Neurospora crassa OR74A: one gene and its partner. The protein of the gene in region 2 interacts with the protein of the main gene of each other region in a pairwise test. Links are inferred from orthologs where the notes say so. Each region holds a gene or a part of one and is shown on either strand. Other genes may lie near its edges. The genes, in order: NCU00133 and rpa-1.

Region 1 (7,923 bases), on a different chromosome or scaffold from region 2:
TGCGAGGTCATTGTCGTAACGAGAGGTGCCCTTGAACTCGTGCAGTCCTTGGCTTGCAAGCAGCTCTGTGATGATGCCACCGAGGTTAAGGAACGATATCAGCTCCATCTTGTGGCTCGGTCCCATCTTCTTGGCGACAATCTCCGTCAACGTATCGATGGCGGTGTCCCTCACGGTATCAATATTGTTGCTCGTGTTGTTAACTCTGCCAACCAAGGGCAAGATCAAGTTCTGCATGTCCTGACTGACGACAAGGGAGATATCGATCCAGCTGACCCATTTCCCAATCACCTTAAGCGTCAACTCTACCACGCCATCATGCTTATTTGTCCACTGAGCGAGGATATCCTGCCACGACATGGCAATCTTCTGCATATGCCGTTCTCGAATTAGATCTTTGAGATCGTTGTTCCTCTTCGACTCGTTTCCCTGGCGGCTGATCATGAGGTCGGCGATTTCGTCATGGACGGAGCTTAGTATGCGGAGGTACAGCATAACGCCGCTGAGGTTGTCTCTTGAAGCACCATTCTGGGAGCTGGTCAAGGCGAGGAAGTCGTCGAAAAAAGTTTCCCAGCCTTCGCCGTAAAGAGCGACAAAGAGATACGTGAGGGTTTGTGTGAGCTTGTTCTGAACGTTCGCAGGGTCGGCTTGGTCCTGAGCGTTAGGACCATATGTGCGTGTGATATAGTCGAGTAGAGAATTTTTCACAAAGGCGAGATCGGGGGCGTCCAGCCCTTGAGAGTGGACGGCGTTATTGACCATTTCAAGGGAGACATGGCGGACGATGTCGGATGCTCTGGGGCTTCGCGTGAAGAGCGCGGCGCAGATACGCCATGCTTGGACGTCGGTCCTGACTTGGTTGAGGAACTCGAGCGCCTGGGACTTCAGGGCATGACTGGAACGAGGATCAAAGGCGATCTCAATCGCCTTTTCAAACTGTAGCAGAAACGACCGTCAGCGCGAGAAGACAGAGAGAAATGACGTGTGCCGAAGAGGTACATTGTGATCCCTCCATTCAGACGGATATATGGCGGGGTCGGCGGGTGCGAGTTTGCGGGGATGATATTTTTTTCACGCTGGGGGAAAAGCAGCCTTACCTGGGCGTCCATGGTATGGCTGTTTGGAGGAAGAGTTCGAGGGGGAGAAAAACGGGTTGAAAGGATTCGTGGTATGTTTTGTACGTCGGCGGTGGTTGTGTCTGGCTGCTGTTTGCTGGTTTAGTTGTTGGTCAAAGTGCTGTAAAATAACCCGGGGCAGCAATGGTCAAGAAAGAGTCGGCATTCTCAAAGATAGCAGGCGGAGCGCCAAAAAGACATGGTTTCCAAAGGCGGGAACCTTTTAGTTGGCTTCCATTACTGTAAATCTCCTTTGCGGTGCTAATCGGGTACTTTTGTTTTTCCCTGCTCCGGGACGTGAAGATCGAAACAGGCAGATGCTTCCTTTGGGCGCGGTATCAGGTCTCAAAAAATACCAGGACGAGTGAGAATAAATTTATCACGGTGCAGGTGTGGCTGTCCGATACAGCACCAAGGAGAGGCCGTGAGCTGATGATTGGCACCAATCAATGGCTTCTGGACTGGTCGACAGAAAACAAAGGGAGGAGGAGGAACGCGGAAATGGGTCATACCCACCGCCTTGGTGGGGCTTAACTTTGGAGCCGAATTAAAGCCCGCCCAGCTGAATGGAAGTCTGCCGAAGCGCACTCAGCAGGGACCGCTCCGCATCAACCGAAGTGCCCACCGGGCCACGCAGGGCACCACTATGTACACTAGAAGGAATGTGCATCCTAGTGTAGTGTAGACAGAGCGGGAACGCATAGAGGTAGGTACCTACCTACCAGGTAGGTAGATTTTTGACCGCTAGAGCGATACCCACCTCAACCGCCTGCACGCCCTGCAGGCTGATACATTCCATGCCGTACTTTTGGAGTACGGCCTCTATCCATCCTGCGGCCCTGAAGAAGAAGCGAAGTCTCAAAGGATGTGCCGATGTCTTATGTTCGTTGTAGTCGAAGGGGAAAAAAAAGAACCATAACGGATCAACTAGGTAGCTGACCATCTGCCTGCCGCTCTTCAGTGTTCATTAGCTCCATTGCGCGCCCAAGTTGAGGGAACATCGAGATACTAGTTTGACACTGCCGTTGGGAATGTCGTCTTTGACGCCCCAAGTATCGTATCGATATATGGTAGAGAAAATACAGAATTAACACATATTCGTGTCACGAAAGTACCGGAACGCCCCAAATACCCAGCTGCCTGCCTGCCTTCCAGCCTGTGATCTGCCTTTTTAATCAAACAAGTAACGACGCGCCAACATGAAAAATAAACCTAAGCCGTCTTCTTCTTCTTCTTGGGGCGCTTCTCTCCCTCGTCATCATCCATATCCTCATCCTCATCATCGACCCGATTGTCGACGTCGCTCTCCTCGCTGCCCGACCCATCACTCTCATGGTTGCTGTCGTATTCCTCCGCCACGTCGCTTTCGGACTCAGCCTGGAAGTCCTCATCCACGCTCTCCTCATCCTCGTCAGCGGAGCCACGATCAGCCTTGGGGCCGACGGCCTCTTCGTCCGAGCTAGCCATGTCGTCATCGCCCAAGGCGGCGGCAATAAGGTTGGTGTCATCATCAATTTCGTTCTTGACACGCAGTCCTTTGAGCTTGAAAAATTCCTCGAGAGCCTTCAAGTCTTCACGGTTAATGTTGCTGAATTGGGATGAGCCCGCGCCGTTTTTCATGTGGACTGTAATGTCGAACGTCGACAATGCCGAGACCGCACCGCCCACGCGTGAAAACGTGATGGACTGTGTCTGTTCGTATGAGATGTACGTGGCCGGCTTGGGGACAAACATAAACGCCTTCTCCAAGCAGTAGAGGAATCCTTCACTGGCTTTGATAGAGCACTTGATGCCGTACTGCTGACGGTGCCTGCGGGTTCCTAGGTCAGTACCGTTGCTGGCTATGAAATGAACAGATATAACTCACGTTGTAAAGTCCTTGGCTGGTGTAGTGACTTTCTTGTTCGCAAGTCCCTTGAAAATGTACGCCACAACCTGATGAAGTGGTTGCTCGTAGTGGCTCTGAAGCTTGTCCTTGTATTTTCCGTTGAGTTCCTCCTCGGTGATGTTCAGGTCAAGAGTCACCTCTTCGTCCGCCTTGAACTGCATCACCACAAATGGATAACGTGTTTGACCTTGACGAAGGGGCGGGTCGAGACCAATGCAAAGCAAGAAATGGAGATCGTCCGGCTTGGGAAGCACCATAAATTTCTTGATAGCATCGTATTGGATCTTGTAGTCGTATGTTTTGCCACGGAGACGGAAGGAGGCATCGTACATGTCGATGTCGAAACGTCCTCTATCGGGAGAGTTAGCACCGGAAAAGGATCAACAACCAGCGTGCAGTTTCCACGTACCTGGGCGTGAGATGTAGCACATCGAGGAATGTAGCGATAGTATCACCCGCCGTCTCACCAATCTCGGCCTTCTCAATAAGGGTGTCGTAGAACAGAGTCACGGCGTTCTTCTCTTCTTCATCGGCGTCGCTACCAGCCTCACCACCCTCGGCCTCCTTTCGTGTTGTCGTTCCAGGGATGTAGAAGCGCACCTCGACCAGCTGATCCTTGCCGGCCGACGCCTTCTTGCCCTTTCCGCCTGTTCCGCTGTGACCGTTCGACTTGCCGCCATCGTTGCCGGCGAACTCGACTGCGATTTCGTTCCTTCCGGCAAGATTTGTATTGGAAATCTCGGAGTAAGGAATCTCAAAGGCCGGTCGGTTTTGGACGTTGAAAGTGAGCTCGGCTTTGCTAAACTCAGCCTTGCCCCAGTTCCATCCTCTCAGAGAGTGTTCCTTGTTCTCGAGGTTCACGCTGTACCAGTTCTTGAAGATCTTGCTAAGGCGCTCGTAATCCTGTGGCAACACGTCAGCGTTCCTTCGCTTCGATGGCGCGTGGATAGGTTTCGTACTTCTTGGTGGAAACCATCGAGCTGAACTACGCCAGAGCTTCGCAATAGGATTTTAACCTCATAGCCCCTCGCCGCCCTGCTCCATTGAGCACCGCCGATGTTGCTCGAGTCGAGAGTGAACGCTTCGCCGCCACCCGCAGGTTTCCATCCCAAGCCATTTTCCGCGAATCTCGACTTTCCGCTCTCCTTGGACAGATCCAAGTAGATATTGTCAAAACTCTCGCTGTAAATGAAGGTATTAGAAATGGCACTGAGCTGTGATCTCCGCCGGTGAAAGCCGTGCCCTACGGCGTAGATGGAGCGGGGCACATCCGTCGTCGCAGGGTTAGACGAGCAAGAGCGCGCGAAAGCATGAAATCCAGAAAGGTATGCGACTTACATGGCAGCCATATTGCCCCTCTATCCAACTGGTTTAATGGTGAGTTGGGGTTGATGGACAAGTTGGAAATGGCGTCTGATGTTGTGGCAGTGATTGCAAAGTGTTGCAAGCAAATACTGATGAACAATCCAACTGAAGGTTCGCGTGCCTCGGAGAAAGTTGACCGTGTCGCGACTAGGCCAGTTCGTTAATTGAAGGTTAATTCGGCTGGCAGGTGGCATTCCGCTGGGCTAGGCGACGACCCATGCTGGTGGCAGGTGGCAAGTCGCAGTACTACTGTACGTGTAGGGTCTACGCAGTGGGCAACAGCTTGGTTGTAGCGCGTGGCAACTGTGAGCTTCTGATTTCTCTCCCAAGCCTGCAAGAACACCACCACTTTATTCAGTTGTCACCTTCCAAGGAAGCTTTGCCAACGACACACAGGCCTTCTTGTCGCTCTGAGAGTCATTCACTGTTTGTATCATCTTGAATGTCTAAAAGAAACTGCGTCCTCTTGTCCTCCAATCTGTCGCGATCTACAGTAACACAACACCTTCCATTCTCTTGTAGTTACGGATCAACAATTATGTTGGGTGGTTTTTTCACATTTGAATTCTTTGTATCTCGCTCCTTCTTGCTTGTATTCGTTCCGCTAGTGCTCGGCCCGTTGAACACGGGAGGGAAAGAGGACGTTCCAAGCGAGTCGCTTCGTTACGTGGGAAAAGTGTCCCCTCGCGACAAGCGTTCCTTGTTTGGTCAGAGCATTTTGAAGCTTTCAACTGGTTCCAAATATGCCACTTGGGTTGCCACTCTCAATCTACTAAACAAACTCAACATAGCTTCGGTTCATGGACATGGGCGCGATTCCCAATATCGTCAACCCCCCAAAAAGCATGTGGGGCTAGCGCGTGGAGCTTTAAGTGGTTGCATATGATATCTTCCGCGCCTGTTTCATGACATGGGATTGTATTAGAGGTACTTAGTCACCTTAAGTGGTAATGTTCTCTGCCTTGTACCACTTCTTGATCTCTTTCTTTTTCTTCCCTTGAACACAAACATAACTCTCAAGTTAGTTCGTTCTTGTTGTGCCCATTGGCTGTTTCACAAGGGCGGAAGACTCGCTCACCGAAGGTGACAATTCCCGTCGTAGACGTTCCTGCCTGCGGCCTTGACCTGGAGACCACGAGGGGCACTTATACGCCACCCCACGATTGACGTATTACATGCTTGAACTGGTGGCATCCCGCACACCCGCTCAAGCTGCCCCGCCTCGACTTCCTTCCGTCACTCGTCTGCCCTGATCGTCATATTTCGCTCGGTTTCTTTATTCAAACAGAACGAAGCTCTCCTTTGTTGCCTGGGCCGTTTGTTTGCCTGCTTCAATTGAACCTTAGCTGGAGCTATTAGTATACCGAACTTCCGACTTGCACACTTACTTGGCCCCCCAAGGATCCCAACGAAGCTTGAATCAATCTTTCCACCATCAATCACTCTTGTTGCCTTGTTGTTTCTACACCTTTTCAAAGATGAGCTTCGAGCGTCCCCTCCGTGGTGGCTGCCAATGCGGCCGCAATCGTTACATCATCCAGTTTCCGCAAACCACTACACAGGCGGCGCAAGTCATCTTCAACCCACCGCCTTCTCAATGTAGGAACCTGTCCAGCGATACTGACTCTCAGGAAATTCCGATCACTATCTCCATTTTGCTAGGAGTATAGATCATCTGACCAAATGTTGCCAATGCAGATATCTCCCATGCCTCACCATTGGCTGCTTTCCTGCGGGTACCTTTGCCATGGTACCATAGCTCGACGCTCTCGTTTTCTCCCGACGAAAGGACGTCGATGATCCATCGCGCCTACACTTCGCCCTTTGAACAGCATTCTATGCGCCACTTTTGCGGTTATTGCGGCACCCCCTTGTCTTACTGGTCCGAGGAACCTCGTAGCGAAGCTGATTTTATCCAGCTATCGTTGGGCAGCCTGCATCCAGAAGATCTAGCGGACCTGGAAGACTTGGGTATGTTGCCGGATTCCGAAAGCGAGAATGAACCTGAAACGAAGAAGCAAGAAGGAAAGGGAGAAGTAACGTATATCGGCCGACAGACTGTGGGAGGCCTACCCTGGCTGGACAGCTTGCTTGAGGGCAGCCGACTCGGTACTCTTCGCGCGGCCAAAGGTCGCAGCCAGAATACGAGTGGTACAGTTCAAGTCGAATGGGAAGTTATGGAATGGACCGAGGGTGAAAGCGGCTCCCCGAGCGGCTCCCCGAGAAACAGCAAGCGGAAGCTTGGTGACCGAGACGACGTAGCCCGGGCGTTACCATGAAGGACATTAGGCAATGAGCCTGCAGTGGGATTCCGTTTCCTGCCATGGTTCATCTAGACGCCCAAGCGCCTCCTCGGACTGTAGAAGGGCATTAGAACGCTTGGGTTGGCGGCAATTCTTTTCGGCGTTTCAGAATCATAAGAGGGTCGTTGAGGGACAGGCATCGTGAAGGCGTTTGGCAGGATTGGAAAGATTGGCAACAGTGGCTTGGATTCGTGTTGTTGGGTCGCATGTTTCCTACTCGGCGATGCACCAAACCCTTGGACCTCCGACATACTTCTAACATTCAGCATCTATACAATGACCAAGTGTAGCAGTACGATAGTTCAACCCTAGAGGATAGCTTATCGCAATCGTTTTCGAATGATTCCGGGACGTGTCTACACCTAGCAACGAAGTCTTAAGGTCGTGAAATACCCAAACCCGACGGAACACACGACGAATGTACTCGCAATAAAATCGTGAAAATGCGCTGCTGGGGCAAAGCGAGACGTGCGATTGGAATCCTAAGGGGCAGCCAAGAGATGGAAACCAACAAAGACAAAACGTGAAGCTTTGGAGTGAAAGTAGTACATTTGGAAGAGGGTTTCCTTACATACTAGTCGAAGCGAGAAGTACGCAAGCGGCTCAGGTGGACATCGACCGGATGTCTCGCCTAGCTTCATCAACAACGGCGGCAAGCAGCAGAACATGCACATCCACATATCTGAGTTGAGCGAATTGTCGTGAACTCGTGAGCAAGCAAAGGGGGGCAGCGCAATGGAAAGGCGGGCCTTAAGTCTACCAGCCGAGCCCAGTTTACCAGGCCCCGCGCGGCGATGTTGTGTTTTCAGTCGCTGGCGAGGCCGAGAATTACCCGACTCGGTTCTATGATCCGTAATATCATCCGAGTGGCTTGGCCAACCTAGAAACTATTGTGCCAAAGCTGAGGATGCATCTAAGGCCCCCAGAAAGTGCTCGGGCTGCTTTGGACTGGCAAATTGACCGTCGCTACATGGCTATCCCAATGTTGGAAGTGCTGATGCAACTAGCATCACGAATAAATAAAACATAAAGTCGAAGTTGAAACTTGACTGTCGAAGCAACTGAAGCGGCTCTGTTCTACCCTGCCATGCCCTGCCTTGTCTTGTCCTTGCCTTGCCTTGCGCCGTTTGCCCGCCCTGCAGCCAGCCAGGGTAAAACTGTATTTACAGCTGGAGGTGAGCTGAAAACCCGTGGCGGCTGAATGGATTGGATCTCATTCCTGCCGGGCTCTTTCTTTGATCACTCTTTAGTA
Region 2 (7,831 bases):
GAATGAATAAGAAGGTGAAACCCGGTACCTCTAGATGAGTTACTGGTTATAAAGTCCTACTCGACTAGCGGAAGTGACTGTTTTGTACTTGGAGACTTGAGAAACTGGTGTTACACGGCGACATTGGGAGGAAGATGGAAGCATTTGAGAAGGGTTATGGAAGCATACCTGGAAAATAGGTGGGTGGGAGCACGGAGGATATTTTGGACACTCCTACTCCTTTTGGGATCACTGGGTTCTAGAAAGTATATCTCCCGGTACCTTCGTTGACAACTCGTGAGACACATGCAGAGTTAGAATGTCAACATTATTCAACCTGTAGGATTCAGCCATTCGTCAAAAAAGCAGAAAAAAAAGACAAAAGAAAAAAGGTGTAGGCTTGCGCCTGAGAGTCTAGCCTGTTGAACGCTTCATTGGACCACTTGACAACACGCCCCATTTCGAGGTGCTGAGAGATGGGGTGAAAGAGGTAGATGATCAACCCATGCCTGATGTTTGGAGGTAGTCTGCTTGGTTACCGAGCAACAGTCAGACGTTAAAGGGAAGGAGACATGAAGGTTAGCAATTGGCTTGGAGTCTCACGTCTCAAGCTGTAAGACACTCGACGTTAATCGCCGTGAATCTGTCCACGTTGGGCAGATCATCTTTCTGCTATATCAATTCGGTTGCATGAAATCAGCTGTCGTAATTTGAAGACACGCTCAGCTTTCCGACTTTCCTGCTGTATAGGGGAGCTTGGTATTCCCACATATGTATCTATGTAGAATGGCTCCCAATTCTGGGTCGTCAGAAGCGCTGAATTATGTTTAAGTTCGTCGTGATGCCAAAAGGTTGATCAAGCGCAAGAAGATTTGCGTCCGAACATGAATATATGTACAACATGTCCAAATCTCCAGAATAACCCTTTGTCCTGAGTTCTAAGCACCGCTTCTCTGAGAGGATAACGTTCCCCACATGCAAGTCATGAATTCGACATTGCCTTTCAAGCGTTGGGGTTTGACTAAGGAAGAAGCCAGCCTTCCTGTTTGTGGTGGTACTAATCTTAATATTCAGTGGTCCGCCGCTATTCGTCGCTTCTCGTCAAGTCTACGACTTTGTAGACCGGACGACTATCAAGTTTGTACGCTTCCCTCGCTGTTTCCGCCCAGAGCCTTGTCTGAGCCTCGGGTCCCAAGCCGGCCATATGGCACGTCATCTCCACCACTCTGCGCCACTTCTTCCAGGCTTCATCACCAAGGCCTAGAGTGCACACCGGCCAGTCGCTGCCAAACATGATGCGTTCGGGCCCAAAGGCGGCTATCACCACAGCAAGCCAGGGTAGGATAGCAGAGAGAATTTCCTCGGCCGGGCGAGCCCTCAAAAACTCGGGCATCTCGCTGAAGCAGCCGCTCAGTTTCATGTAGGTACGGTCGCACTTGCTGAGAGTAAACATGGCGGTGCGCCAGGCGATGTATGAGGGATCCGTTTGTACATTGACGATGGTTAGATCTGGCTTGCAAAGGTGGTCTGAGATGAGAACCATCAGTTAGCAAGCAAATCATGCAGAATGTGTCAAGGTAAAAACTTACTCAGGATAAATACCACTTTGTCCTCCTCGTCCACACCTTCGTGTGCACGGTCGATCATTTCTACCGCCTCCTCCAGTTGGATTCTCCCTCTTTTGTGCTGGTCAACACCCAGGTCAAAGACGAACTTCTTTCTGCCAAGCAGCTTCAGGCCCTCGATAAAATCGTCACTTAGGGCTGTTCCGTTGGGCTTATCTTGCAGCAAGTAGCGGAAACCCTTCACCTTGGCCCATGTTTCAGGCCCGGCTTCCTTTTCCGCAGCTGCGAGATACTTTTCCAACTCGGCAGAGCCCAATACAACCGGCGCCCACGGCACAATTCCGAGACAATCACGGCCATCGTCAGCCGTGTGGCCCTCGCCAGGCTTCGGTTGGCCGGTTACGATGCGGCGAAGCCATGCGATCTCTTGTAGGGGGTAAGTCCAATCCTTAGCATTGTCGTTCTTGCGGTCGACCTCAATTGCGACGTAGCCCTGAAGATTGCCAGGCGCACCGGTGGCGGTCTGGTATTCCTGGATGGAGTGCTGCTTGGCGAGAGGATTGTCTTCAGCGTACCACTGGTGGGATTCTACCTCGGACTGGGGATAGAGGTGCACATGGGTGTCGATGATGGGAACGGAAACGGCGGGAGATGATGCCATTTTGATCAGGCCGTTATCGAGCTCGAGTTTGGTAAAGCGACGGATATGTTTGGCAAGAAAGTAAGGTATCCAGTGATAGAGAAAGAGAAGGAGACAAGCGAAGCAAGCAAAGTCAGAGATGACAGGAAGTAGGAAGGTCAGGACGTCGAAGCGGTGTACCGTCCTGCAGGCAGACCAACGCTGAACACACAAAAGTAGAGGTATGGATGGGATGTAACTGAGGCAACGGGGGAACTTCCAATCGAGCCTTCTCCTTCTTATATTTTGTATTCGTTTTAGCATAGGCAGGCACGCGCTACAGTACGAGGAGAGTACCTCGATGGTCAGGAGGGGGTGGGAGATGGGATCGACACAGACAGCCAGGAACCACGACGAGGTGGGGTACGTTCGGCATGCAAAGGGCAGGCCCAAGACGGGACAATTCACACCGAAAGATTCAAAGATAGGGTTCCTGATCAAGAATGGTTACCTCCCGTCTTCGGTTTCCATTTCCTTGAGGAACCCAAGGTCCTTTTCCCTTTCGTCTTCCTACAGCACCGGAAGAAAGATACCCTTGTTATGTACAGTCATCACATGATTGTGCGAATATATTAGCAAAAAGGGTTCTATCTGCAAGACCTGACAGAGAAATCATGACATGTTCCAAAAGCTTAAGAAGTGAACGAGGCCAAGAGGGAAGTTGAGCCCCTGGAACTTGCTGAAGTTGAGCTCTCGGGTGGGGTTTGATGTGGAGATATGGGGTTGGCGGGCAACTGCCATGCTTGTCAGAAGCGCTTGGCAGCAACACTCCCCGGCAAACGCAAACTACACGCGCTATACAAACTGGGGCCCTCCGCACGGACCGTGGATGCCTAGCAATTAAACTCTTGCCCCTCCTCGACGCGCTGCCAAACGCGTCGCTGCTGCAGTCCATTGTTTGTGTGAAATTTCCCCTCCAGACCACCATCATCATCAGTCCAACACACTCGATCCATCCGTATCTTGTCGGATCTTTCTTGACTTCTGCGCCCCAATCCTTGCATCTTCGAACACGACTCACGCATAAATCAACCTCAAAAACAACATCGAGAACGTCTCCACGGGCTTGACGCCAACACTACCCAACCAACATGGCGGGTCAAATCACACAGGGCGCTCTGGAGTAGGTTTCTTCACGTGTGCTTCCATCCAGTAGTATGACAGACTCTGACTTCTTGCTATAGCGCCATGTTCAATGATCCCGATCGCGCACAACAACAGTTCCCTGTCCCCATCCTTCAATGTCTCCAGATCAAGACCCTCGACTCCAAGAATGGGGGCGCGGGCGCCACGGAGAGGTTCCGCATTGTGCTGAGCGACCTCAAGAACTATGTCCAATGTATGATGGCCACGCAAACAAACCATCTTGTTCACGATGGCCTCCTGCAACGCGGCTGCATCGTGCGCTTGAAGCAGTATCAAGCTCAATGTCTCAAGGGCAAAAAGTACGCCTATCTACCCCTCCGCCAATTCGGGAAATCCATAACACTGACTGTTTAAATCCAGCATCTTGATTGTCCTCGATCTCGAAGTTATCCAGTCCCTTGGCTGTCCCGAAAAGATGGGCGATCCACAGCCTCTTGGCCCCCGCAGTGCAGAACCACAGCAGAACCCCAATCTCGGCAGCACCGGCTTCTATGGCGTCAAGAGCGAACCTACCCAAGACACGAAACCACAGTTTCCACGCCAGATGCCCTCGCGTAATGCCAGCGGGGGTCAGGGATCAAGCACGATATATCCTATTGAAGGTCTCTCGCCCTTCTCGCACAAATGGACCATCAAGGCCAGAGTCACCTCCAAGTCCGATATCAAGACCTGGCACAAGGCTAGCGGCGAGGGCAAGCTCTTCAGCGTCAACTTTCTTGACGAGAGTGGCGAAATTAGAGCAACAGGATTCAACGACCAAGTCGACCAGTTCTATGATTTGCTACAGGAGGGTCAGGTTTACTACATTTCTACACCTTGCAGGGTACAGCTTGCCAAGAAGCAATGGTCGAATCTCCCCAATGACTACGAGCTCACCTTTGAGCGGGATACCGTGATCGAAAAGGCCGAAGACCAGACATCTGTACCACAGGTACGCTTCAACTTTGTCAACATCCAGGAGCTTCAGGATGTTGAGAGGGATGCGACTGTCGATATTATTGGTGTCCTCAAGGAGGTCCAAGAGGTGACCCAGATTGTATCCAAGACCACACAGAAGCCGTACGACAAGCGCGAGCTGACCCTTGTTGACAACACTGGGTACTCGGTACGTTGTACCATCTGGGGTAAGACGGCCACGAACTTTGATGCTCAGCCTGAATCCATTGTGGCCTTCAAGGGCACAAAGGTCAGCGATTTCGGTGGACGCAGCTTGTCCCTGCTTTCGTCTGGCACCATGGCCATCGATCCGGATATTCCAGAGGCCCATCATCTCAAGGGCTGGTATGATAGCAGCGGCAGGAACAACACCTTCGCCACCCACAACAACATGCAGACCTTGGGTGGTGCGACCGGTCGCAAGGACGACGCCAAGACCATCTCACAAGTAAAGGAAGAGAACCTTGGCACAAACGAGGCGCCGGATTACTTCGCTCTCAAGGCAACGGTTGTATTCATCAAGCAGGATAACTTTGCCTACCCTGGGTGCCGAAGCGAAGGCTGTAACAGGAAGGTCACAGATATGGGTGATGGTACCTGGCGCTGCGAGAAGTGCCAGATCAACCACGATAGACCTCAGTACCGTTACATTATGAGCGTCAACGTCAACGACCACACAGGTCAACTTTGGCTTAGCTGCTTCGACGATACGGCGCGGGTCATCATGGGCAAGTCGGCCGATGAACTTATGGAGATTCGAGAGACCGACGAGACGCGGTTGCCCGCCGAGTTTGAGCAGGCCAACTGCCGCAAGCTGAACTTTAGGTGCAGGGCGAAGATGGACACATTTGGTGAACAGCAGAGGTACGTATCGGGGGTTATTCTCACGATTAGATGGACGTTGCTGACACATTGCTTGTTGCAGGATTCGATACCAGGTCATGAGCGTGGCGCCCCTTGACTACAAGATGGAAGGAAACAAGCTTAACGAGCTCATCAATTCTTACAACCAAATGAGCATGTAAAGGGGAGGGTGGGGTTTGTTCACTTATGCGAGGAACTAGATGATGTATATGGTTAATGAACACGTGTTTGTATTTTCGGGCATGTGGTCTCAAGGATGAACGATATGGGCATCACTGGCCTATCGACTGAAAGATGATTTGCAGTTTCATGATGGACTGGGATGGTTAAGAGCTGTGATGGGCCGAACCCTAACAGAACTTTGTTGGCGTGGCAGCAAATTTCGGCATGATTGCAGACTTGAATAGGTCTCTCAAGCGTTATCTTGGAGTTGAGACACTAGGAGACCTTCCTGTTCGAGTTATCTTCGATAACATGCCGAGGTAAGTACACACGCTTCGTTGACTAGAAGAAAGCTCCAGAGCTGGTCAAGGTCGGATCAGGGCGGTCCTTGCAATGTAATACGCACCTTTCGGGCTCAATATCCACATGGCAATCCGATCATCTCATCCGTTATCGGCCTTCTTCACCCTCTCGTATTCTCAAACTCTTCTATGCTTCAGCTTTTTCACGCAAAGAACCCGTGGCACAGCCTTTCCTGGTCATCTTTCTTCACTTTCCAACTTCCGTTATGTGAATAGGCACCCCGGCTCCGGTCTCTATGCGGACTGTTTAGCTGCTCGATACCGTATCGGCACTTATCGATTACGCAGATGGATGACAGGAACCTAAACGCCGTATCTTCCTTATCGGCCGTCGTCGGGATCCCCTGCCGTGACTCCACATATCCGCCGTCCAGACCCGCCCCCGCTCCGTTCCCTCGGGCCCCCCACTTTCGATGTAGCGGGAAGCTGACACCGAGTTCTAGAACAAAAGACTATTGAAATCACGTTTGAACCGTATTCGTGTCAGCACTAAGACCAAGTTAAACCTTTATCTTTGCTCATACTTCTCTATCCCATTCAGTGTCTTCTTGTTGTCTACTTACACTCATCACCTTCCACCAACATCAACAACAAAGTGACAAGCTTCAACCTCTCAAACCTCCAACGAAATGGCCGACCCCAGCACCACCCCTCCCCTTACCCGTGCCTCCGTCCTCGCCGCTCACTCCCTCATAAAGCCCTACATTCACGAGACGCCCGTGCTTACGAATACCACTTTCGACCAACTCGCTTCCACCCCTCGTACTCCCGAAGAGCTGCAAGGAACGGAATGGGAGGCTACCGAAAGACCGGCGAACCCAAAGATTCGGTTCTGGTTCAAGTGCGAGAATTTCCAGCGGATTGGCGCGTTCAAGGCTAGAGGAGCGTTTCATGCTGTGGAGAGGTTGAAGCAAACTGAGGGGTTAGAGGGGTTGAAGAAGGGCGGAGTAGTGACGCATAGTTCTGGTTTGTGAATTTCCGCTTTTTTTTTTTTTTTTTTTTTTTTTTTTTTTTTTTTTTTTTTTTTTTTTTTTTTTTTTTTTTTCTTTTAATCTGGATATGATGAGGTGATATCAGTATTGAGAGAAATGAGATTGTGAAGATGTGAAGTTTTTTTGAAGGCTTTGAAATAGGTTGAGTTGTCTGAATTGTCTTCTGAGATGTGATGAGAGTTGTCGATGTGTTCAAGACGTAGTAGCTACGTGAAGACCCAAACTGACGTGACAACGAACTAAAAGGTAACCACGCCCAAGCCCTTTCCCTCGCTGCCCGCGAGAACGGCATCCCGGCGCACATCGTTATGCCTACCATCTCGCCTCCGCCCAAGATCGCTGCCACCAAGGGTTACGGCGCCAACATAACCTTTAGCGGAAGCACGAGTACCGAGCGTGAAGCAGTTACAAGGGAGGTGATTGAGAAGACGGGTGCGAGGCTGGTGCCGCCTTATGATCGTATGTCCCTTCTCCTTTTTTCTTCTCACGTGTCCTTTCTTTAGGAGTCTCTTCAGAGTGTCTTCAAACCCTCTCGAGGTCCTCTCGCCCACTTTCATCCTCCCGTCTCTTCACCCCAACACTGAACTGACCAACTAACATCCCCACCCCAACCCACACCAGACCCAGACATCATCCTCGGCCAAGGCACCGCCGCCCTAGAGCTCCAACGCCAAGTCGCCGCCTCTCTCTCCACCTCCGGCACCACCACCACCACCAACCGTCGTCGTCTTAACGCGATAATAACCCCCTGCGGCGGCGGTGGTCTCCTCTCCGGCACCGCTCTCGCCTGTTCCGACCTCTCCCCTTCCGATCCCTCCACACCCGGTCCAATCCTGGTCTTCGGCGCCGAACCCTCCTTCTCGGGCGCGGACGACGGTCGTCGGGGTTACTACTCGGGCACTCGCATCGAGAGCGTCAAATCCTTGACGATTGCCGATGGGCTGCGGACTCCTCTGGGGGCGTATCCGTGGAGTATCATCTATGAGCGGAAGCTGGTGGCGGGCATGTACAGTGTGGGCGAGGAAGAGATCAAGAAGGCGCTGAGGCTGGTTTATGAGAGGATGAAGGTTGTTGTTGAGCCGAGCGCGGTAGTGGGGTTGGCGGTAGCGTTATTTAATGAGGAGTTTAGGAGTATGGTGGAGAGGG

The links.
Region 1: the proteins of rpa-1 (region 2) and NCU00133 interact in binary tests that used the Saccharomyces cerevisiae proteins (3 or more experiments, as listed by UniProt). The link is inferred for Neurospora crassa OR74A from reciprocal best matches to the Saccharomyces cerevisiae genes RFA1 and POB3.

Annotation. Positions count from the first base shown.
Region 1 is NC_026503.1:2,734,250-2,742,172, reverse strand, and holds NCU00133 (FACT complex subunit pob-3), read right to left. Parts: upstream 4,600-7,923; 5' UTR 4,353-4,599; coding exon 4,342-4,352; intron 4,186-4,341; coding exon 3,963-4,185; intron 3,907-3,962; coding exon 3,413-3,906; intron 3,355-3,412; coding exon 2,983-3,354; intron 2,926-2,982; coding exon 2,328-2,925; 3' UTR 2,064-2,327; downstream 1-2,063. Other genes in the region: NCU00134 (exportin-T), read right to left, coding at 1-936, 1,098-1,109; NCU00132 (hypothetical protein), read left to right, coding at 5,847-5,967, 6,067-6,647. UniProt on the Saccharomyces cerevisiae protein: Component of the FACT complex, a general chromatin factor that acts to reorganize nucleosomes. The FACT complex is involved in multiple processes that require DNA as a template such as mRNA elongation, DNA replication and DNA repair.
Region 2 is NC_026505.1:1,820,452-1,828,282, forward strand, and holds rpa-1 (replication factor-A protein 1), read left to right. Parts: upstream 1-3,077; 5' UTR 3,078-3,314; coding exon 3,315-3,346; intron 3,347-3,407; coding exon 3,408-3,668; intron 3,669-3,729; coding exon 3,730-5,169; intron 5,170-5,230; coding exon 5,231-5,330; 3' UTR 5,331-5,757; downstream 5,758-7,831. Other genes in the region: NCU03605 (amidohydrolase), read right to left, coding at 1,064-1,506, 1,569-2,487; NCU03607 (threonine dehydratase catabolic), read left to right, coding at 6,323-6,659, 6,932-7,144, 7,307-7,831. UniProt on the Saccharomyces cerevisiae protein: As part of the replication protein A (RPA/RP-A), a single-stranded DNA-binding heterotrimeric complex, may play an essential role in DNA replication, recombination and repair.